Elephas maximus indicus: one gene and its partners. The protein of the gene in region 1 interacts with the protein of each later gene in a pairwise test. Links are inferred from orthologs where the notes say so. Each region holds a gene or a part of one and is shown in the gene's direction. Other genes may lie near its edges.

What was found. The genes of interacting proteins can lie anywhere in the genome.
Region 2: the proteins of CLEC7A (region 1) and BNIP3L interact in binary tests that used the Homo sapiens proteins (3 or more experiments, as listed by UniProt). The two-hybrid records come from large-scale screens. The link is inferred for Elephas maximus indicus from reciprocal best matches to the Homo sapiens genes CLEC7A and BNIP3L.
Region 3: the proteins of CLEC7A (region 1) and BNIP3 interact in binary tests that used the Homo sapiens proteins (3 or more experiments, as listed by UniProt). The two-hybrid records come from large-scale screens. The link is inferred for Elephas maximus indicus from reciprocal best matches to the Homo sapiens genes CLEC7A and BNIP3.

Annotation. Positions count from the first base shown.
Region 1 is NC_064822.1:67,381,494-67,389,458, reverse strand, and holds the start of CLEC7A (C-type lectin domain family 7 member A), read left to right. Parts: upstream 1-4,821; 5' UTR 4,822-4,899; coding exon 4,900-5,029; intron 5,030-7,007; coding exon 7,008-7,106; intron 7,107-7,965.
Region 2 is NC_064840.1:47,146,611-47,154,849, reverse strand, and holds the start of BNIP3L (BCL2/adenovirus E1B 19 kDa protein-interacting protein 3-like), read left to right. Parts: upstream 1-4,952; 5' UTR 4,953-5,042; coding exon 5,043-5,145; intron 5,146-8,239.
Region 3 is NC_064834.1:81,714,201-81,722,914, reverse strand, and holds the start of BNIP3 (BCL2/adenovirus E1B 19 kDa protein-interacting protein 3), read left to right. Parts: upstream 1-5,427; 5' UTR 5,428-5,629; coding exon 5,630-5,675; intron 5,676-8,714. UniProt on the Homo sapiens protein: Apoptosis-inducing protein that can overcome BCL2 suppression. May play a role in repartitioning calcium between the two major intracellular calcium stores in association with BCL2.

The DNA of each region.
Region 1 (7,965 bases):
CCACATAGAAATTAATTCACAGGACTCCCATTATACAGGCACTTGGGGATTCAGCAACATGCATTCCTTTCTGGAATAAGTTGGAATAATTTGGAATTGCTCAAGTTCACTCAAAGCACTGCTTGCTGTTTGCATCATTTTAACTACACCTTATGGAACTAGGGAAACCCTGGTGGCATAGTGGGTTAAGTGCTACAGCTGCTGACCAAACCGTCAGCAGTTTGAATCCGCCAGGCGCTCCTCGGAAAATTTATGGTGCAGTCCTACTCTCTCCTACAGGGTTGCTATGACTAGGAATTGGCTTGATGGCAACAGGCTTATGGAACTACCTATTTCAGTGTTTAAACAGTAAATTTGAGGTAAGCAATGATAGTATTGTACAGTGATTATAAAAACAAAGAAACAGAATTTGGTCTACTTTAACTGTCATTCTATGTGACCACTTAGAATTTTTATTTATATTGTATAAAATTTTTTGACCTGCAGAGCAACATTTGAAGCCTCTAGAATTGATTCTGAAGGAAAAAGACATGAGCAATCTTGCAATTTCTGAAACTATTGTGAAATAAGAGTTTTATAGATCTCTTGTATCCTTATAAACCTTTTTCCTAAGTTTACGTATATGTTTCTTCAGCAAAATAAACTTTTCAAAATTAAATTGATTAGTCAACGAGAATATATGAAAAATATTAATTTTGACAAAATCATTGACAAATTGGGGAAGGTAAGCTCTAAATCAGAAACTGTAATATTTTTTATTAATGTGATATACATAAATATAGGTGTAAAACTTTCTCCTTTTCCCAGAAGTACATTACTATAATTTAAAAGATTTTACACATATAATTCAAAGTATTTTGTACAATACTATTCATTTTAATTTGTTGAAAAGAAAATGAGGCTCAGATTGTCAGATTCCTCTGAGTGCATAGAAAAGTTGCACAAAGATCATTGACCAATGTGGAATGCACTCGAGAACAGATAGACAGGAACAAAGAGACAAGGTGGCAATACCAAAAAAACAAAACAAAACAAAACCCATTGCTGTGAAGTCAATTCTGACTCACGGTGACCTTATAGGACAGTGCAGAAATGTCCTAAAGTGTTTCCAAGGCTGTAAATCTTTACAGAAGCAGATTGCCACATCTTTCTCCCATGGAGCGACTGGTGGATTCAAACCTAGCACTTTAACCGCTGCACCACCAGGGCTTCTTGATGGCGATATACCCTTGAGTTGATTATGACTTATAGTGACCCTATAGCACAGAGTAGAACTGCCCCCAATAGGCTTTCCAAGGAGTGTCTGGTGGAATTCAAACTGCCAGCCTTTGGGGTAGCAGCCAAGCTCCTAACCACTACCCCACCAGGGCTCCCTACCCAAACCAAAAAATACCAAGCCTGTCGTTGTGGAGTCGATTCCAGCTAAGAGTGACTCTATGGAACAGGGTAGATCTGCTCCATAGAGTTTCCAAGGAGTGCCTGGTGGATCTGAACTGCCAACCCTTTAGTTAGCAGCCAGAGCACTTAACCACTACAGCACCAAGGCGCCATAAAAAAAAAAAAAAAAACCAAACCCACTGCCATCGAGTCAATTTTTGGCTTTAGGTAAAGATAAATCCTTTTCATAATGTGAACTCTGAGTTCACGGTTCACAAATGTTTTGTCACAAAGAGGGTTTGTGTGATTTTATGGGTTTTTGGTTTTATGAATCAGTTTTTTCATCAAATCCCACTGAGAATATGAATTATTATTATTACCTTTTTTTTCTTTTTTTGCCTATTTGGTATTTTGGTTAAGTCCACTTATTTTTCTCCTGTTTCTTACATTAATGTTTAAAAACAAAACCAAACTTGTTGCAGTGGAGTCGATTCTATCTTACAGCAACCCTATAGGACAGAGTAGAATTGCCCCCTGAGTTTCCAAGAAGTGACTGATAGATTCCTGGAACTGCGGAAATTTTGATTAGCAGCCAAGCTCTTAACCACTAACCACAAAGGCCTCCCAAATTAATGTTTAACAGAGAGTATTTTTCTCTGGATATTTAGACCCTCTCCTTTCCCCATCCTTTTAAATGCGGAGGGTTTTCTTATTTTTCCAGTATGTCAAGTTTCGCTGTTCAGTTGTTTGACTGCCTCTCACTGCCATCCAGTGGATTCGGACTCATAGCGGCCCTGTAGGACAGATCTTTACTGAAGCAGACCGCCACATCTTTCTCCTGCTGAGTGGCTGGAAGGTTCAAATCAATGACCTTTTAGTCAGCAGCCAAGCACTTTAGCCGCTGCACAACCAGGGCTCCCAGAATAAAAAACACCAAAGTTTATGTCTATTGCATTTTTCTTTGACAGTTTAGAGAGTCAATTGTTTTTGTGGGATTGAGATTAAATAGAGGAATATAGTCATAGAGAATAAAAGTCATTTCATACAGAAAGACTCTTGTATCAGCGGTCTGCATTGACAGAATAAATCCAGCTTCTCCAATTACTGCCTGGAAGAAGTGTTTCCCTCATCGCTGTTCTTTGGTTCTGTATAGTAGGCTGACCCTCCTGCCTTTAGCCATGATATGGCCTGCTTTCTAAGGGCTCCTTTATAGAACTGAAATACTGAAGAATGTTGGAATTAGACCACACTGCTGCTTTGCAGCACACCTACAAAAAGTTAGTGGAAGTTTAATTTTATGTGTCAACTTGGCTAGACTGTGGTGCCCGTTTTTTTGGACAAACGCTTTTCTAGATGCTTTTATGAAGTAGTTAAACCAAAAAACCAAACCCAGTGCCATCGAGCCGATTCCAACTCATAGTGACCCCATAGGACAGAGTAGAACTGCCCCAAAGAGTTTCCAAGGAGGGCCTGGTGGATTTGAACTGCTGACGCTTTGGTTACCAGCAGTAGCACTTAACCACTATGCCACCAGGGTTTCCGTATGAAGTAGTTACATGTGATTAAATTAGTTACATGCCTCAGGTAAAACAGATTACCCTCCATAATGTGTGTGGGCTTCAACCAATCAGTTAAAGGCCATAAGAGCAAAAAGGGACTTTCTCTTAAGGTGTATTCTTCTTTCAGACTGTAAGTAGACATTTTGCCAGAACCCCTTCACTCTTTATTCTTCCCCATCACCTGACCTATGAATGTTGGTATGTAAGACTGCAGGAATCGCCAGTCTGTTGCCTGACCCACAGATTTTTAATTTTCCAGCCCCCACATCCTGTGAGCAAGCCAATTCCTTAAAAATAAATCTCTCTGCCTCTATTATATAGATACATGTGTATACATAAATATATATATGTGTGTTTGTGAGTATGTATGTATATATATATATGAGAGGCATTAGTGATTCAGTGGTAGAATTCTCACCTTTCATGCAGATCTGAGTTTGATTCTATTCCTGGCCAGGGCAACTCATTCACAGCCAATACCCGTCTGTCAACAGAGGCTTGCATTTAGCTATGATGCTGAATAGGTTTCATGGGGCTTCCAGACTAAGACAGACTAGGAAGGAAAGCCCAGCGATTTACTTCTGAAAATAAGCCAATGAAAATTTTATGGATCACTATGGTCTGATCCTGTTGCATGTGGGGTCACCATGAGTTGGGGTCTGAATCAATGTTAGCTAAAAACAATATCTATATCTACATCTATAAAACCAAACCAAACTCGCTGCTGTCCAGTTGATTCCAACTCATAGCAAACTTACGCCTGTATCTATATGTCTTAATGATTCCGTTTCTCTAGAAAATTGTGGTTAAGACAGGGAGGAACCCACTTATTTACTCTCCAGTGATCTATCTTCCATTTTGATAACATGTTAAACAGATGTGTCCTGCTTTCTACAGTCTTCAAATTCTGATAAATGGATTGGACATCTGTCTAGTTTCTAGAAGTAATAAGTATTTTCCATGTATCATTGATTTAATCATTACTAAGGAAATTGGAAGAGAGGAAAAAATCAAACACTTTGCAGAACATTTCAGTCCCAGAACTCTCCATGAGCTGTTAATTGCTACAGAAATGTACAGAATGGTGAAGGAGGCAGTGTAACCTAACAGAAAGGGCACGAAGTTTGCAGCAGGAGTGAACCTTGCTCTGATTACTTAGTCCACTCTCTTTTATTAACTACTTAAACCTGAGAAAGGGGCTAAATTTTTTCATCTGAAAATAGAAATAATAATACCTACAATATAGGCTCGCTGGAAAACTGAGATTAAATGAGAAAGCAAGTACAATGCACAGTACCTAACACATAGTAATTGTTCAATAAATAATTACTGCTTCGTGTGATTATCCCACGACAAATATCAGATATTTGATCCCTGCTGTTGCTACAATTATGCCCCTCCTAATGGCATCCTTCACACTTTCATCTGTAGGTTTCCTTTGCTAAGCAATAAGCTTCTACACAGGTATTGTTTATCCTTATATTCCCAACTCCTATTGGTTGAAAAGGTGGACATTCAACAAATGTTTATTGAATGAATGCATGAATAAATTAATGAATGTGTAGTCATAATGAAGTCATGGTGAACTCAAGATACCAAGATTGTTTGACAGTTTGCATAAGCCAAGTCATTTAATGATGTCAAAATCAGTTGTGAGAATAATGAAAGCAGCTTGGGACATAAATCTATATATTTTTATTTTATTAGGTCTGAAACAAGGATCTATCTACTATGCTGTGTTATAATTTTCTTAGAATCAGCAGTCTCAGAAATAGGATCTAAAGGTCCGAATGGGAAATTGCCACAGCAGAATTTTCACTTCCTGCTCCTGGGTATCTGGTTGAACTACTCAAGCTCAAGTCGTTAAACCTCAGCGATTGCCCATCCCACATGATTTGACTCATAGGTCCTCTTTTGTCCGTAAGCAGTTGTCTTAGAAGAGAAGAAAGGGCTCTCAGATGCTATGTCTGTCCAGGGACTCAACAGAACAATGGAATATTATTCCAATACAGAAAATTTGGATGAGGATGGATATACTCAATTAGACTTCAACTCTAGAGACAACTCCAGGAGACCTATAGTCTCAAAGAAAGGTAATTTTTCTTTATCCCTTCAATACTTTCATCATCATTATCCAAATCACCGAAGAGAAGAAAATTTGAGACTTGTGATTTATAGGGCTTTTATTAATACTTTTTTAAATGTCAGGTTTTCAGAAGTCACTGAAGATAATTTGAATGTGAGCTAAGTATTTTCTTGTGGCAACTCAGATAATAGCATTCAGTGTCTAATTACTAGTATTTAAATTAATTATGTATGATGACAAAATATTCAGAATTTCTCTTTTCTGTAGGAGTAGACATTTGAACAGTGAGGAGTTGTAATAAATGTGGCAATGAGCAAAAATGAAGGAATTTCAATAAGAGTGGTTTATTGCTTGGTTGATAGAAAGGCATAGATTGTAGAATGGAGGTCAAGGAAACTTAAAGAAGTGTATAAGAACATCAGGATATAGCAGATAAGAAAGCGAATGATAAAAAAAAAAAAAAAAGATGGAAGATCAGTAATGGAAGGCACCGAGGGAAAAAGAATCTGTCATATTCTGGTAAAATGGAAGTCAGATGTAATAGTGTTTATAATATTGATTTGTTATGATTTATGTGATGTGAAATTGATTTGGCTTATTGATTTAATTAGCTTTTAATCAAAGGGAAGTTCTTGATATACCGGTGAAGGAAAATACACATGTTAAAGGAAGAGATTCCTTTAGTGACAAATGAGTCTTAAAATATAAGAAGGTGAAATACGAAGGACATAAGAAAAACCCATCTTTTCATAGAATTAATAATTTAGCCTCCTCTATTAGTTTCCTGGAAACCCTGGTGGTATAGTGGTTAAGAGCTATAGCTACTAACCAAAAGGATGGTAGTTCAAATCCACCAGGTGCTCCTTGGAAATCCTATGAGGCAGTTCTGTTCTGTCCTGTAGGGTCGCTATGAGTTGGTATTGACTTAATGGCAACAGGTTTGGTTTTTTTTTTTTTTTATTATTAGTTTCCTATTTGAAAATCCTATGAAATTCTCTTATTACTTATTCTCAGTTAAAGGCAGAGATAGGTTCTTAGTGTGTCAATGTTAACACAAAATGGGTTCCATGTTATATCGGGAGAGAGATTATTGACAGGTTTTGGCATAAGAATTTGCTCTCTTCTGCTTTCTTGTTAGTCACATTGCACAATTATTTTTGTCTCACCACTTATGTAATTCTTTCCTTGAGCAATCTACTGGGGAAGAGTGGAAAAACTGAGTGAGGCAAGAGGGAGGAAGGCATGCATGTGTTTATGTGTATGCGTGGGCAAACACTGAGTTACCTACAGTGTGCTAACAGTATTTAAACTAGGTGCTTTTACTTATGTAAACCAATGCAATCCCCACAACAATCCATTGAAGTATTCTTAGTCCAGTTTTCAATAAATAATAATGAAAAACCAGAGGGGGTAATTTGCTCAAGATCCTGCAGCAAATAAGTAAAAAGAGAAGGTTCCATATTTTGATTTTGCCACCCTTGGTAACCACTGTTCTTTCCCCTACATTAAGCTCCCTGCTTAAGGAATAAGTGGGATTTCAGGATTCCTAGCAGTGACAAGACCTGTAGCTGACTTTGTGGAACTGAAATTAAGAATGGATACATATCAAAGCACTGTGCCCAAATTACATGTCCAGGGCTTGAAGAGGCATGCTAAAGGTGTATAAAAAATTAGGCTAGTACTAGATGATTAGATTATCTCAAAAACAGTGACTAATGAATGGTTCACTTTGGAATTTGCCAGATTTTGATGAACTGTAGATTTAAAGAGCCTCACAGTCCATCAGGTGTAGTGGTTAAGTGCTACGGCTGCTAACCAAAAGGTCAGCAGTTCGAATCCCCCAGGCACTCCTTGGAAACTCTATGAGGCAGTTCTACTCTGTCCTTTAGGGTCGCTGTGAGTCCGAATCAACAGGTTTGGCTTTTTGGTTTCTCAGTCCATCATTCTAGTCCTTCATTCAACTTCTTCTCCCTCTGGCTCCTCAGGAACTTGTGCTGCATCTCCTCGTTGGTGTGTCATTGCTGTGATTTTGGGGATCTTATTCTTGATAACACTGGTGATAGCTGTGGTTCTGGGCACCAAGGGTGAGTACTGTTAGAGGAGATTAGCAATAATGCATACTTTCAATGAACATTCATTACATGCCAGGCACTTGTTTAAAGGTTTGACATACATAATTTCATTTAACCCTTACATTAACTCTATTGAGTTGGTACTATTAATCCCCATTTTATTTATAAGTGAATTGAGAGATAGGGAGGTAATTTTACTATTCTAGGGTCATGGTGGGGCCATGATTAAAATTTAGATAGGCTGTCTGAGAAACTCCGAGTCCATGGGTTCCACATCAGTGGATTCAACCAACCACAGATTGAAAATATTTGAAAAAAATACAAAAGAAGAAGGAAGGAATACACGGACTCACTGTACCAAAAAGAATTGATGTTCAGCCATTTAAGGAGATTGTATATGATCAAGAACTGATGTTACTAAAGGAAGAGTTCCAAGCTACACTGAAGGCATTGGTGAAAAACAGGATTCCAGAAATTGATGGAATACCAACGGAGATGTTTAGAAAAAACGTTTTCAGTGCCAGAGGTGCTCACTCATCTGTGTCAAGAAATTTGGAAGACAGCTACCTGGCCAATCAACTGAAAGAGATCCATATTTGTAACGATTCCAAAGAAAGATGATCCAACAGAGTGTGGAAATTATGGAACAGTATCATTAATATCACACACCAGTAAAATTTTGCTGAAGATCATTCAAAAGCAGCTGCAGCAGTATATCGACAGGGAAGTGCCAGAAACCCAAACCAGATTCAGAAGAGATGTGGAACCAGGGATATCATTGCTGATGTCATATGGATGTTGGCTGAAAGCAGAGAATACTAGAAAGGTGTTTACCTGTGTTTTATTGACTATGCAAAGGCATTTTACTGTG
Region 2 (8,239 bases), on another chromosome or scaffold:
GCTAAATAGTAAACTGCCTTGTGAAAACTTTCCCTGAAAACACAATGAAACATTATCTTCAAAAGCAAGCAAGCAAGTTCCACTCGTTTGACAGTTTGTTGTACTGTGGTGGCTTGCATGTTGCTGTGATGCTGGAAGCTATACCCTCAGTATTTCAAATACCAGCAGGGTCACCGTGGTGGACAGGTTTCAGCTGAGCTTCCAGATTAAGAAAACTAGGAAGAAGGACCTTGCAGTCTATTTCTGAAAAAACTGGCCAGTGAAAACCTTATGAATAGCCCCAGGACATTGTCTGGTATAGTGCCAGAAGATGAGCTCCTCAGATTGGAAGGCACCCAATATACTACTGGGGAAAGGTTGCCTCCTCAAAGTAGAGGTGACCTTAATGACGTGGATGGAGTAAAGCTTTTCGGACCTTCATTTGCTGAGGCGGCACAACTCAAAATGAGAAGAAACAGCTGCAAACATCCATTAATAATCAGAACATGGAATGTACGACGTACGAATCTAGGAAAAATGGAAGTCATCAAAAGTGACATGGACCACATAAACATCTATATCCTGGGTATTAGTGACCTGAAATGGACTGATATGGCCATTTCCAATTGGACAATCATATGGTTTACTATGCCAGGAATGACAAATTGAAGAGGAATGTTGTCGCATTCATCATCAAAAAGAACATTTCAAGATCTATCCTGAAGTACGACACTGTCAGTGATGGGAAAATATCTATGTGCCTATGAGGAAGAACAGTTAATAGAAGTATTATTTAAATTTATGTCCCAACCACTAATGCCAAAGATGAGGAAACTGAAGATTTTTACGAACTTTTGCAGTCTGAAATTGATCAAACATGCAATCAAGATGGATTGATAATTACTGGTGATTGGCATACAAAGAATCAGTAGTTGGAAAATATGGCCTTGGAGAAAGAAACGACGCTGGAGATCACACGATACAATTTTGCAAGACCAACAACTTCTTCATAGCAAATACATTTTTCAACGACATAAATGGCAACTATACACATGGACCTTGCCCAGTGGATACACAGGAATCAAATCGACTACATCTGTAGAAATAGATGATGGAGAAGCTCAATACCATCAGTCAGAACGAGGCCAGGAGCCAGCTGCAAAACAGACCACCAATTGCTCCTATGCAAGTTCACGGTGAAGCTGCAGAAAATTAGAGCAAGTCCAGGAGAGCCAAAGTATGACCTAGAGTATAAAAACCTGAATTTAGAGAACATCTCAAGTATAGATTTGACTCATTGAACACTAATGACCAAAGACCAGACGAGTCGTGGAATGACATCAAAGACATCATACATGAAGAAAGCAAGAGGTCATTAAAAAGACAGGAAAGAAAGAAAAGAGCAAAATGGATGTCAGGAGAGACTCTGAAACTTGCTTGTGAACATAAGAGTAGCTAAAGTGAATGGAAGAAACGATGATGTAAAGACCTGAACAGAAGATTTCAAAGTGTGGCTCAAGAAGAAAAAGTATTATAATGACATGTGCAAAAACCTGGAGGGGAAGAACATGTTCTGCATTTCTCAAGCTGAAAGAACTGAAGAAAAAAACTCAAACGTGGGTTTGCAATACTGAAGGATTCTACGGGAAAATATTGAACGATGCAGACAGCATCAAAAGAAGATGGAAGAAATACACAGGTTCACTGTACCAAAAAGAATTTGTCAATGTTCAACCATTTCGGGAGGTAGTATATAATCAAGAACCAATGGTCCGAGCTGCACTGAAGGCACTGGCAAAAAACAGGGCTCCAGGAATTGATGGAATGCCAAGTGAGTTGTTTCAACAAACTGATTGCGCATTGGAGGTGCTCACTCGTCTATGCCAAGCAATTTGGAAGACAGCTTCCTGGCCAACCAACTGGAAGAGATCTATATTTGTGGCCATTCCAAAGAAAGGTGATCCAATGGAATGCGCAAAGTATCAAACAATATCACACACAAGTAAAATTTTGCTGAAGAGCATTCAAAAGCAGTTCCAGCAAGATGTGATAGGGAGCTACCAGAAGTTCAAACTGGATTCAGGAGAGGTTACAGAACTAGGGATATCATTGCCAACATCAGATGGATCTGGGCTGAAAGCAGAGAATAACTGAAAGATGTTTACCAGTGTTTTTTTTGTCTATGCAAAGGCATTCAACTGTGTGAATCATAACAAGTTATGGATACTATTGTGAAGAATGGGAATTCCAGAACACTTACTTGTGCTCATGAAGAACTTGTACATAGCCCAAAAGGCAGTCATTCAAACAGAACAAGGGGATACTGCATGGAAAAGTGTGTCAGGGTTGTATCCTTTCACTATACTTATTCAATCTATATGCTGAGCAAAGAATCCAAGAAACTGGACTATATGAACAAAGTGGCATCAGGACTGGAGGAAGATTCATTAACTACCTCTGATATGCAGATGACACAACTTTGCTTTCTAAAAGTGAAGAGGACTGGAAGCACTTACTCATGAAGATAAAAGACTACGGCCTACAGTATGGACTGCACCTCAACACAGAGAAATCAAAAATCCTCACAACTGGACTAATAAGCAACGTCATTAAAAATGGAAAAAAGATTGAAGTTGTCAAGGATTTCATTTTACTTGGATCCACGATCAATGCCCATGGAAGCAGCAGTCAAGATATCAAATAAAGCACTGCATTAGGCAAATCTGCTACAAAAGACCTCTTAAAAGTGTTAAAAAGCAAACATGTCACCATGAAGACTAAGACACCTGACCCAAGTCATGGTATTTTCAATTACCTCATATGCATGTGAAAGTGAACAATGAATAAGGAAGACTGAAGAAGAAATAATGCCTTTGAATTATGGAGTTGCCGAGAAATATTGACTATACCATGGACTGCGAGAACAAACAAATCTGTATCTTGGAAGAAGTACAGACAGAATGCTCCTTACAGGTGAAGATGACAAGACTTCATCTCGTGTATTTTGGACATGTTATTAAGAGTGACCAGTTCCTGGAGAATGACATCATGCTTGGTAAAGGAGAGGGTCATCAAAAAAGAGGAAGACCCTCAATGAGACGGATCGACGCAGTGACTGCAACAATGGGTTCAAGCATAACGACGACTGTGAAGACGGTGCTTTGCTCTGTTGTACATAGGGTTGCTATGAGTGGGAGCCAACTCGATGACATCTAACAACAACAAAAAAACAGACAAACATAAACACCTTGAAAGCAGCAAGAACCAACTTATCACATACAAAGTATCCTCAATAAGATTAATAGCCAATTTCTCAGCAGAAACCATGGAGATAAGGCAGTGGGATGACATTTAAAGTCCTAAAGGAAAAAAACTACCCTTTAAAAATGAAGGAGAAATTAACATATCCCCAGATAAACAAAAGCTAGTTTGTTGCTAGTAGACCTGGCCTATAAGAAATGTTAAAGAGAGTCTTTAGGCTGAAATGAAAGAACACTAAACAGTAACTCAAAACCATATGAAGAACTTTATAAAGGTGCATTTTCAAGTCAGCATGGAAAGGATTGTTTTCAAATTAATAAATGTTTTTGGGTCACTTGACTGTTACATTGGGAAAAATGAAGTTAAGTAATTTACAACATATCAAAAACAAATTTCAGATGTAAAAACTAAACCTATAAAAGAATTAGAAAATGTTATAAAGAACTACTTCTATAATCCTGGTGAAGGTCTCTCCAAGCCTTCTAAGACTGATGGATTAGATATCTTCAGGGTGAAACAATGTTAAAACACAAGTGACAAGACACTGAAAAAAATGTATGCCACACATAAATCAGACAAAGAAATTAGATGAGGACATGGAAATATGAAGAAGTTAGAATATTCAGTAACATAAAGTAGTTCAGTATCAACCACACACAGGATACATGTCTTTACATAAAATAAGGTTGCAGAGATAAATTAGCTAGCTAGCTGCCATGCAGTTGACTCCAACTCACGGCAACTTTACGTACAACTGATGGCTGGGGAGTGCATTATTGTGGCTACTGTGCCAATCCACTTTACTGAGGGTCTCCCTGTCCCTCACTGGCCCGGTGATTTATGAAACACGAAGTCCTTCTCCAGCGATTGATCCCTCCTGATGACGTGTCTAAACAAGGAAGTCGGACAGTTCTATTGTGATCCATACGGTTTTCATTGACCGATTTTGAGAAGTAGATTGCCAGGCCTTTCTTCCTAATCTGTCTTTTTCTGGAAGCATTAGACCACAGGAGATCCTGCTGGTATTTTGAAAACCGTTGGCATAGCTTCAAGCATCATAGCAACACCCAAGCCACATTATAACAAACTGACAGAAGGTGGTCAACCCCATGGCAGCTATCTATCTAAGCTAGGTGATTTGGGTGATTATTCTCTACCTTTTCCTGAAATTTTCCAGCTATTCTTACAACAATTGCGTGTTACGTTTGTAATTAAAATTTAAGTTATTGACCCGGAACAAAAAAGTCTGGACTGCCATACATTGTTCCCTGTTCGGGGTGTTTATATTTCACCAGTTTTACTTGAGGGTATGACGGGGAAGCACAAGGTTTTTTGCTTCCTTTTTGTCACCACAATACTTATTACAAAACTGAGTCCTTATCAGACATTAAAAAATAAATGCTCACAGATTGGATAAAACAATATTGACCCAGTAGGTGTGGGAGATTTGGGTGCTAATACATGGGCACGTTACACTTCCTCATTACAGACTTCCCCCTATCCTCTACCCCAGGGCCATCACCATAACTCATCCCACTGGGTCAGTACAAATTATTACGTGCAACAATTCATTCCTGGCGCGCGCGTCAGATTGACTCCAGCGTCTCCACGTCCGTGGCTCCTCCCGCCGCCCCGTCCGCTGGCTGTGTTGTTATCACGTGTCCTGGGCGGGCCCTGACGTCAGGAGCAGGGGGAGGGTCTGCGCACGCGCAGGAAAGGGGGCGGGGGACTCGGCTTGTTGTGCTGCTGCCCGAGAGCCACAGACGGTCCTGCAGCGGGCGCAGCTCCTACAGCCACTGACAATGTCTTCTAATTTAGTAGAGCAGCCGCCGCCCCTGCACAACAACAACAACAACAACTGCGAGGAAGGCGAATCGCCTTTGCCACCGCCAGCCGGCCTCAACAGTGAGTGCTGGCCCGGCGGGATTGGTAAAGGGGATGGGGGAGGAGGCGCTGGTCTGGCCGCCACCACAAGCTTAGCGCGGGGGGTAAGGGGGACCAGAAGGCAGCTTATTGGTTAAGGCCGAGGATGTTCAGGTGACTGACGGCTCCCCTCACCTGTCAAGATGAGGTGCTCTTGTCTCCCTTTTCGCCTGTCTCTTCTACCTTCTCGGATATTGAGTTGGGTCCTGCTTCTGTTCAGGGTTAGGGAGTGCAGGTGGGTGGGAAGAGACGAGGGTTGGGACGCCCAGCGAGCTGGTAGACGAGGCGCTTCCACCTGTGGTGCGTCCGCTGAAGCGGAGCCAATCGAGGCCTGGAGGAGGCGGGCGTTGGGGCGCTGGGAGGAAGGAAAGGGCGAAGAGGGTGGGCGGAGCGGGCCGCGGAGGGGACGTGGGAAGGGATGGGGACGTGCGGCGGGGCCGCCGGGGGATGGACGGACGGGCGGCGGGCGGCGGGCGGCAGCGGAGGGGAGGAAGGCTGGGGGACGTGGCCAGGGTCAGGTGTACAATGGAGCTTAAGCCTTTGCATCACTAGCTAACGTCGCTGAATTGGGCTTCCCCAGGTTTCGGAACGTGAGCCCTCCGGGTACGTTCTTTTGTTACCACGGTCGCGTCAGGAAAATAAATTCATTTGGTAATTTAATGGTTACTTGAATCACGTGTGGAGGCGAGGAAGCTGTGTTACTTTTTTTTTTTTTGGATATTTTTCAAAGTTGCTGAAGTAATGTTTTTAAACGACTAGATTGTCTGCCAGAAAAGCTGTTTATAAACATCCTCTTGAACTGCACAAATCACAGTCTGAGGAAATGAATTTTCAGATATGGAATTATAAACACTCATACACATGAATAGTTGAAAGTTAATGAGCGATATTGAGTTACGACCAAATACAGTTGCTTCATAATATTCTGGTGCTCAGACATCTCGTCGTAATGTTATTTCCAGTTGTTTAATTTAGAGCTCGGAGTCGTCTTAAAAGGTTCTTGTTTTTCTGTAATGCATCTCGTATGACAGCGATAGTTAGGGCAGTTAACATATGGCTAAAGGAAATCGTTTAAACATCACTTGGATGCTTAAAAGGCTTGCAGTATTTTTCACCCATAAAGAGGTTCTTCCAACAAGGCCTAAAAATTATTTTAGGGAAAGAGAGTTCCCACAAACATGGGAATAGAATTTGAATATTTTAAGACGTATTCATTGTTTATTGCTTCTTCTCCATCTTTTCTTTTTTAATTTAATTTTATTTATTTTTATTGTTGAGAATATACACAGCAAAAACACCAATTCAGCAGTTCTGCATGTGCAGTATTCTCACAGTAAATTAGGATTAATTTATGTGCCTTTAAATGTTACTTGCATTAGATATTAACATGCATTCTTAACTGATTACCATTTTTTCGCATATACTCTTAGAAGCATGGAATTTAGAATGGAAAGAGATGTTTTAGAAATAACTGTCCCCTCTTATTTACAGGGGAGCCCTGGTGGGATAGTAGTTAAGTGCTACGGCTGCTAACCAAGAGGTCAGCAGTTTGAATCCGCCAGGTGTGCCTTGGAAACTCTATGGGGCAGTTCTACTCTGTCCTGTAGGGTCTCTATGAGTTGGAATCGAAGCCACCGCGGTGGGTTTTCTTACTTACAGGTGAAAAAACAGATTAGAATTTACTTGAAATAAAGTGTTTTGCCCAGGCTGGGATTTAGAGTCTAGGTATTGACTGTCACCCAGTCTAGTACTCCTTTGGTACACTTCTTTTTCAGTGGTCCAAAATCCTCGAACCATGTGTGTCTTATTCTCTCAGCATGCTATTCTACTCGGTGTACAGAGGCAATCTAGCTTTTCAGTATTTTATTTCTTAATTGTCTTCACTATTGTCCTGTGATACTTAAAAGTTATCTATTTGGTTAATATGTGTACATGATTTCACAGAAAACAAAGGGATTTTAATTTTCCTGTGACCATTTAATAAAAAAATGAGATTGAGCTCTGTGTGATTGTTTGTGCCTGTGTCTGACAGACCTATGAGGTGTTTGACGTCCTTGGCCAGTCAGTGGTTGCCCCTCAGTGGTTGCTACGTTTACATTAGCTGTTATTGAAGTGGAAGGATAATCAACCTACAGATGATATCAGAATGTTTCTATGGGAAATCTGCTAGATAAAAAGTATATTTGGTGTGGAATGAGCTTTTAAAAGTTACTGAAAAACTTTCTAGATAATGCCATGTTTAATTACTCCCCCTTGCCTCTTACTCTGCTCTTTTTTTTTTTTTGTGGGGGAGCTCATTACACAACGCTGAACCGAACAAAACAAGAGTGAGCAAATCAGCGTATTCAGGCATCTAAAAACTATCCAAATTGCAGATAAGTTGAAATACTTTGTTGAGTAAAGTTGCGCAACTATGAAAAACAGATTAAACTCATTGTACAGATTATCTCTGGTTTGGGATGTTATCTTTAGTTCAAGAGTCAAAAGCAGAGTTTTAACAGCAAATTATTGAAATATTTGGAATAATGAAACCCTGATTTTTATTTTTTAATTTTTTTTTTACTTTACTGCTATAGGTGGGCCATTCACTTTCATTACGTATTAGTGGGCAAATATCTGAACTACTTCCAAAATTATCTTTCCAATTGCTGATTCTTAAGAAAAACATCAAGTTAGTTAATATTTGTATAGTAGATTTATATCATGAGTTTTGGTAGGTAGTATAAGAAAAATCAAGGTAGTAGCATAATTCTTGTTTAAAGTGGGAATAAACCAGTCCACCCCCCTTTTTTTTTTCTTTTTAAACATCTTCAACCATGATGTACTTGCTTCCTGAATGTGGTGAGAAGGCTGTGACACATAAAACTTCACTGCGTTGTAATACTCTTGAAAATATACGTAACGTATATATAAGTACCAACTTCTTCAAAAAGACTAAACTTTTTTTTTTGTTTTAGAGAATGCCAATAATTATTCTTGGTCTGGATTCTAGCGTCAGATCCTTAAAATAAAGGCTTTGAGGAAAGAGGATAAAGTATAATGAAATATGTCACCCCTGGTTAAATGAGTGTTGTAG
Region 3 (8,714 bases), on another chromosome or scaffold:
TAAATTTTGCCTTATAAGAAAAAAAGGGACTTAAGAGATGAAAATAAATTAAGGATCTTCACATGGCAAAGTTATCCTAGATCATTCAGATGAGCTTTAAATCCAATCACAAGTGTTCTTATAAAACCGAGGCAGAGGGAGGTTTGAGACACAGAAAAGGAGGAGGTGATATGATCATACAGACAGGCTGATGTGGCCACAAGCAAATAAAGGTCAGCAGCCACCAGAAGCAAATGAAGCAAGGAACAGATTCTCCCCTAGAGCCTCTGGAGGCAGTACAGCCCTGCTTGCACTTGAATTTTGGGCTAGAGAAACTGACGTTGAACTTCCCGCCTCCAGAGCTGTGAAAAAATAAATTTCTGTTGTTTTAAGCCACCAAGTTTGTGGAGATTTGTTACAGCAGCCACAGGAAACTAAATGACTAGGACACAGGAAGCATGAACTAGAAAAGAAAAAAAGCAGTAAACTGAACTTTGTCAAAAATGAAAACGTTGCTCTTCAAAACACTCACGGAAAAGAAAAGGCAAATCACAGACTAGGAGAAAATATTTGCAAACACTGTCTGACAAAGGACTTGTATATAGAATACAAGAAGGACCCTTACAACTAAATAAGACAACCTAATTAAAATATTGGCAAAAGATTTGAAAAGATGCTTCACTAAAGAAGATACACAGTTGGCAAAATAACCTAAACATACACTATCATATGTTCTAACCATTTCAGTTCTACCTATTTATCTACGAAAAATGAAAAAACATGTCTACACAATGACTTGCACATGAATGTTCACAGCAGTTTTACTTGTAATAGGTAAAAACTAGAAACACCCCAAATGTCTATCATCAAGTGAACAGATAAACAAATTTTAAGTACATCCAGACACCCAATAAAAAAGAACAAACTATTGATACATGTGACATTTGCTGAATCTCAAAATAATTACGCTGAGAGAAGAGAAACTTTTAAAGGTAATGGATATGATTGATCTAATGACTCAACACGATCCCATTCAAAATCTCATCACTTTTTAAAAACATTATCTTTATTGTAGTGATGGTTTCATGGGTGTATACATATGACAAAGTCACCCAGCTGTACACTTTAATGTTTTTTGCATACAGTTATAAAATCAGGAAAGCTTTTTTTAAAAACTGTGTACACTTAAGGTCTCACAACGCCTCTGCCTTCTAGTCGCTGCATCTCTTGTTCTCTTCTGTCATTTTTTTCTTCCAGGTTGCTAGTAACTCTGGTCCACTGAGAAACCAACTCCAGTTCTGCTGTGAGTTTATTCTCGTTTATATTTCTTTACTGTCATTTCAATAGGATTTTGAGACGCTAAATAAATGTGTTCAGTCAGCCATCTTCCTTCTCATTTAGGTTTTGGTACACATCAAACTTTATTACCTCCATTTCTTTTTTAAAAAAATTGTGAAAAATATCAAACATAAACAAAAGTTGATGCAATAAAATTAACCACTATGTACTTATTACTCAGCTTCAACAATACTCAACTCATGGTTTCACCTATACCTTCATCTACTACCCCTGTCCTGTGTTATTCTGAGGCAAATTCCAGATATAATATTTTACCCATAAATATTTCTGCATGTACCCCTAAAGCGTAAGAACTCTCAAAAAAAAAAAAAACCCATGACAAACAATGAAATGCAAAATAGTGATATTTTAATTCTTACATTCAATCTTAATTTATTAGCTGAAATACTCCGATAAAGAGAAACTTCCCCTCATTTACAAACTGGTTACTCAGTGACCTTTATTTCTAAATTGACTGCAAGTTCTTTGGATTTTTTTCTTTTACAAAAGGGTACAAAATATAGAAGAGGTTCCTAAGTGGCAATTAGAATGATTTTTTGGGGGCGACGAGAGCTTTCCTTTTGTAGCTAATGTCTAGAATTATTGTAGCGTACACTCATTTGCACAGTGTGTAATTTCCACTTTTGAGAATTCATTTTTTTAAGTGACTCAATACACAGTCCATACAGAAAACAAGACCCATGGGTGACCAAAATAAACGTGTATTCTGTGTATTGCTATGAAAGCTCACATATAGACATGCAATCAAGTTTGTTAACTATATTATTCAAACCTTTTATATCCTTTTTTATATCCTTGCTATTTACCTTTTCTTATTATTTTTCATTTTCTTCTCAAGTTGTTTGAAAGTGAAGGGCCTATGTCTAGTCTTCTAGGGCTCATCATTATACTTTAAATTTATGGTTAAGCTTATACTTTTTCTATGTACACATCAATATCTAGAACCTTCCCTTCCTAAACAAACCAAGACCTGTAATGCATACATTGACTCTCCCGCACCCGATGTCTAATTGAAATCCTCTGGTATATTAGTGTAAGATTATATTTTAGTTTATTTGGTTTTCTCAGGAATAACTTATTAATAATTGCCTTAGAATTCTAAGCAATACTGCAACAATTATTTTATATTTAGCTATGATGGAAAGAGGTGGATGGGAGACACCTGGCCAGGAAGCTGAAGGGTATGCGAACACATTGCTAGGTGCAGGGACTCCTCTCCCCTGAAGAAGCCTTAAATTAATTACTCTCTGAGCCCTACTGCTTACTCCAGGACAAAGTCTCTCTTACTGAGGAATTTCAAGTTGGAGGTTGGTAGGGTACCTTTCCTTTTCACTTAAAGGCAGAGGAATCATGAGATCTGGTAGCATTTCAAGTTATCCTTCAAGTTCACATTTTCAATCTCCTCTTAGTAGACCAGCTGGTTTAGTGAGAGAATTCTAGGGCCCTCTTCCCCTTTCCCCTCATCTGTCACTAAACCAAAAGAAAAAAAAAAAAAACCAGTTGCCATTGAATCAATTCCAATTGATGGCAACCCCATGTGTGCAGAGTTGTTGGAACAGCACTCCACTGGGTTTTCCAGTCTGTGACCTTTTGGAAACAAATCACCAGGCCTTTCTTCTGAGGTGCCTGCGGGTGGGTTTGCAGCCAATCTTTTTGCTACTAATCCAGTGCTTAACCGTTTCTACCACCCAAGGACTCCTTATCTGTCATTAGGGCACTTCTAGCTCCCTCTGCTCAACCCTTTCTTAATTACTCTGAGCCTTTCAGTGACTGGGTGTCCTTCCGCTGCAGCTGCACCTGTTTACCTGTGTTTCATTTGGTTCAGCTAGTTTCTTTCTTAGGAAGGGCCAGATCCCCTGGTAGCTTATAATGTAACAGCACTTGTGATGCCCCCTGTGAACCTGCAGCAGAGATTCCTTTAAGTATCATCATCAGGGAACATTTTTTGGTGTACTGCCCTTCCTTATTTACCCTTGCGTTCACTCCAAACTGGAAGTAACTTCTTGTGTCTTCTGGCTGCCCCCACACTACCCACTGTTTACAACCTATTCTTCCAAGTTGGAGCCCTGGTGGCACAGTCGTTGAACATTCAGGTGCTAACCAAAAGGCTGGCAGTTCAAATCTACCAGCCGCTTCTTGGAAGTTCTATGGGACAGTTCTACTCTCTCCTGTAGTCACTATGAGTTGGAATCAAGTTGATGGCAATGGGTTTGGTTTTTGGTTTTGGTTCTTCCAAGTTAGCTCCTTTTCAGGTCCCTACACCCTACCTCCCTACACCATAGCTCTGCCAAAAGTTAAATTCCAACCCTCAAGAAAATCAGCACCTCTGGGGACTCCCTGCCTTCGAACCCAGTTCAATAATGAAAATATTTGGCGACTTACATGGACCAAGCACAGACTCCTCCCAAATACTGGACCAACTCTATTCCTGCTTCTAAATGCCTGGTTCTTCACCAACTACCTGCTCTCTATTGCCCCATCATATAGTGACAGTCCTATTCTCCACTGTTGCTATATAAAATAAAATCTCAAATTCATTTCTTAAAAAAACCTGCATATATGAGGTAAAGGGCAACAGAGATAATGAAAAGGGGTTAGTGAATCCTAAATTTAGGGACAGAGAACAGATTTACTTCAATGAAAGAGTCATAAAATGGGGTACATGTTACTCACAGATTGCTGGAGGGAATTGAGGAGGCACTGTTGTGCACGCTGGCATCAATTCTGACTCATAGGCAGGCACTATAGGACAGAGTGGAACTGCCCTATAGAGTCTCCTCGGCTGTAATCTTTACAGAAGCAGACCACCAGGTCTTTTCTCCTGGATGGGTTCCACAGGCCCACCTTTCCTTAGCAGCCCCAGCGCTGAAGCACTGGGCCACCAGGGCTCCAGGGGAGGGGCTGACAGATGGGAAATGGCCTGGGGGTGGACACAAGTGAAGGACTTCCAGAGGAGAGGGAGAGGAGACTGAGTGGAGAGGCATACATTTGAGGACGGGGGGCTAATGGGTACTCCCCAGTCCTGCTCGGCTGGGACATTCCAAAGTCCCTGTGCCGCAGACAGGGGTGTGTGTTGCGGTGGGGGTTAGGAAAGGCCCCGCGCAGGAGGCATTCCCAGGGAAGGCAGCTTTCCCAGTAGGGGAACCTGGGGGCACTGGGGGAGGCACCAGCCAGGAGTTGGTGTGTGCAAGGGGCTTCCTGGGAGGGACTCTACAATTCGTGTCTGTGTGAGCAAGCTGCTTTCTGTCCACGCAGCGCTGGATCGCGGCCTTCCAGAACACTCCGGGAACGGCCGGAGTACTCGAATGGAGACCCGCAGGCTGCGACCGATGGTCGGAGAGGAACGGCGGCTCCCGGACACCTCTCTCCACAGCCCCTTTCCTCCCCGCCTGATAGCTGGGGACAAGCCCTTTCAGGCGACACTTACAGCTCCGCTCCTGACAGGCTGGCAGAAGCCGCCGGGTGACCTGGGCCTCACCTCTGGGCCTCCTTCCTCCCCGGTGAACGAGGGTGGGCTGTCGGGGCCCTGCGCGGTCGGCAGCGCACCCTGGGACTCAGCTGCAGTCACTACCAGGTTGCTCGCCCTACCTGTGCCTCAGTTTCCACACTCTTAACACGGGAAACGGCTAGTTCTGGCCCAGAGAGGGCGGTGGGAGTCAGCGCGGCCATTACCGCGGCGGCGAGCGTTTGCTGCCCTGCTGCCGCTTTCCTTGGGGAGCAGGGACCCCAAACAGCTCGAGGCCCGCCTCGCGCACCGCCTGCGGCCCCACACGCCCCAACCACGCGCCCCAACCACGCGCCCGACCCTCCGCTCAGGCGCCGGCGTCGCAGCCCAAACCGAACGGGCGCGGCCACGAGGTCACGTGGCTCCGCGGCGCTCCGTCCGGCCCCGCCCCGCCCCGCCCCCGTCGGGAGCCGCGCCGCCCGTCCGCCTGTTTACCTCAGGCTGTCGCAATCGCGGGCGCAGGACCCGGATAGAGGCCGCCCGCGCCTCAGACTGCCGCCCCGCCCCCGCCCCCGCGCACGCGCCGCACGCGCCGCACGCGCGCAGGCCCCGCCCCGCGGCCAATCAGCGACGCAGCCGCTGAGTCCGTGGCAGCCCTGCCCCGCGCACTCAGTCCGTCAGTCCGTCAGTCCGTCAGCTGGCGGCGCAACAGGAACCTGCGAGACGCGCTGTGCAAGCGGCCAGGCCGACTCCCACTCCCCCGGCTCCAGCCCATCGGCCTAAGGCGCCGTCGCGACCCGCAGCCCGGCTCGTGGACCCGACCGGCCACAGCCGCTCTCCGGCGCCATGTCGCAGAGCGGTGTCCCCGGGCTGCAGGAGGAGAACCTGCAGGGTGAGGCCGCGTGGCGCGGAAGTCGGGGCGCAGTGTGTGTGGGGGCGTCGGGGGAGTCGGCCGAGGGGGCGGGGAAGTGGGGCTCGGGGGAGGCTCGGCAGAGGGCCGGGGCAGCGGGGCTCGGGGGAGGCTCGGCCGAGGGGGCCGGGGAGTGCGGCCCGGGGCCGCCCGGTTTCTGCAGGAGTTAAGGACTTGCAGCCCTCGGGGGCGCGGGGTTCTGGTGGGGTTTGTGTCCTGGAGCTTCCGAGCCGGGCAGGGACGGCTAGCGAAAGGCAAACCCCGCAGGTTTGCCGCTCGAGGAGATGCCGTGGTGCGCAGTGGGCTTTGCTAACGAGTGGACGTAGTTGCCATCTGGTGCTCCGGGGTGGGCTTCGGTTGTGGCTCGTCGAAGGGCAGGAACGAGCTGTGCTTCAGTGCCAGGCGGCGTGTTATCAGCCCAGCGCCCCCAGTTACGAACTGTGTCCGGCGCGTTCAAAAGAGGCCCTGCTGGAAACCGCCTTGGCGGGTGGGCGGCCCGTCCTGACCCCCCCCCGGGCGTCGCTGGCGGAGCCCCGCGGCGGGCGGTGTGGCTGGAGTTGCCTCTGGGGCGCCAGGGGCCTGATTGGCGACCGAGTCTGCAGGGTGGGTCCAAAGCTTGCTCGGCCTCCAAGAAGGCGGGGGTGGGGGGGACGGAATGAATCTGGGGTCAGGAGCTGACCACAAGTCTAAATTCTCCAGCTCAGGCCAACTTAAAATTTCTCCTTAAAGTAAAATCACCATTTAACGGATGAACCTAATAGTTTTAACATTTAATAGTTTAGGCCAATATTGGGTTAAAAAAAATAATAAACCTGTTGCCTGTGAGTTCATTCCGACTCACAGCGACCCTATAGGACAGAGCAGAACTGCCCCATAGGGTTTCCAAGGCTGTAAATCTTTACGGAAGCAGACTGCCCCTATCTGTCTGCCACGGAGCAGCTGGTGGGTTCCAACGGTTGACCTTTCAGTTAACCACCGCGCCACCAGGGCAACGCTGGGGCAACTGGCCTCTTTCCTTCTGGCCCTGTTGACATGATCCTGGGGGCCCCAGAGTTGGACTAGGAGACTGGTGTCTGCTGACCCTTGTACTCTCTGAAGCAAGAGTTGTCTAAACAAAACGAGCATGTAAATAAGCTTTGGAGAGGACTGTTGAAACCTCTGATCAAACCCTTCGGTTATTCATATAAATTACTGAGCTGCTAATTAAATTTTCATTTGTTCTGAAAACAAGAATTTACTGGGCAACACTTAATTAGCCTAATGCATTGTATGGTATGTATCTAAAAACTACAACCACACTTTAAAAAAATCTTGTAATTCATAGTATTGTTTTTAAAGTTAAATATTGACTAATTCCTTCTTTGAAACAGATGGAGTTTGTTTTTTTCTCTCTGTATTTTCTCATAAGATCCCAGGGATGTTTGCCTTCATCTTTTGCCCAGAAATCACCGATTTTCTAACCATCAAACTATTTTATTTCTGACATTGAATCTTTTACTTACTGATTCAGACCATCAGACCCCAAATTTACAGTCTCTGGAAGAGTCGCATGGGGGGTGGGTAGGGGCAGTTAGCTTGCCTGTTGGCTGTCTTATAAACCACACTGCTGAGTCTTTGGTGACACAGGATGGCCAGTTCAGGAGTTAAAAGGTTTTTGTTCTGCTTATTCTATAAAAAGATGGTTACATACAGTGGAAACTCATGTAAAGATTTTTTCGGCTGTTCCCTGAGTGTACGTGCAGCGGGACACTTGCTGGCCATCCAGCCCAGTGAGTCACGTGGGAATATAGAGCTGCCCTAACAAATGGGAATCTGGGCTTGAATCAGGTGCAGCTGAGGCAGCGCTTGTCCTGCTCTGTTCTGATTGGATTACCTCTTGTTTACCTCTCAGAAGCCCTGGTGGCACAGCAGTTAAGGTGCTCGGCTGCTAACCGAAATGTTGGAGGTTCAAAACCCACCAGTTGCTCCTGTAAAGATTTACAGCCTATGGGTTATTTCTACTCTGTTCTATAGGGTCACTCTGAGTCAGAATCGACTCAATGGCAGTGGGTTGGGGTGTTTTTGATGTTTACCTCTGAAGGGACAACGGAGGAACTTAGTAGCCAAACCCATAGACAGAACAGCAAACATCTCCCCCTAGGCTTATATCTTCCCAGAGGAGTGAATAGATAATAAAACTGATTGATCCATTCCCATTTTACCCCTTGGTCCTTTCCAGTCAAAGCTTTTGACTCGGGGGATATTTGAATTTGCATTTCTTTTTCTCCTTAGGTATATTACTATGCACAAAGGAGACAGAATTTTGTGACAATATTGTGCCCCAGTAGCATTTAGGGCAGGGTGGGGGTAGCCGTGGTGCATGACTTACTCCCCAGAAAAACCCACACATTTCAAAGCAGAGCTTCTCGAGAGAACATTTGCTCTGAGAAAGCAGAATTTAATGCCACAAGCTCCCAGCTTTTCACTTAATGCTGTATCTGCAGCTAGTCGGATGGTTCTGTTGTCATAGGCAACCCATCATGGGTGAACCTGTATGACAAGAAATAGAATTTGTATCTCTCTTGGAGAGAAATTATGGCATCTTGCAGTTTTAGAGCTGGAAGGGATTTCAAAGGTCTAGATTCTAACCCAACCTACATTTTACATATGGTCAAAATGAGACCCAGAGATTAAGTGACAGATAAATTTAGGAGGAAATTTACAAATAAGGCAGGCAACAATAATTAAGGGCACATCAAGGACTCTCCATGAAATGCCAGCACAGTGCTTTTGGAGCCTTCCACAGCACTAGCCCAACAAAATGAAGGTTGAGATGAACCAACTCCTGTTTGAAGCCAGTCACCTGAATCATTTACCAGTTGGGTTTATGTTCAAAAGTATTTGTCAGTTGAGTCTCTTTTGTACCTCTTCCAGATAACGTGAGAAGCTTTTAAATATAAAAAGAGCAATTTCCTAGAGCCTACTTTTCCTAGGGAAGAAGCCTTCTGTGTGATTTTGGTAGCTTTGGTTCTCTCCAGTCTT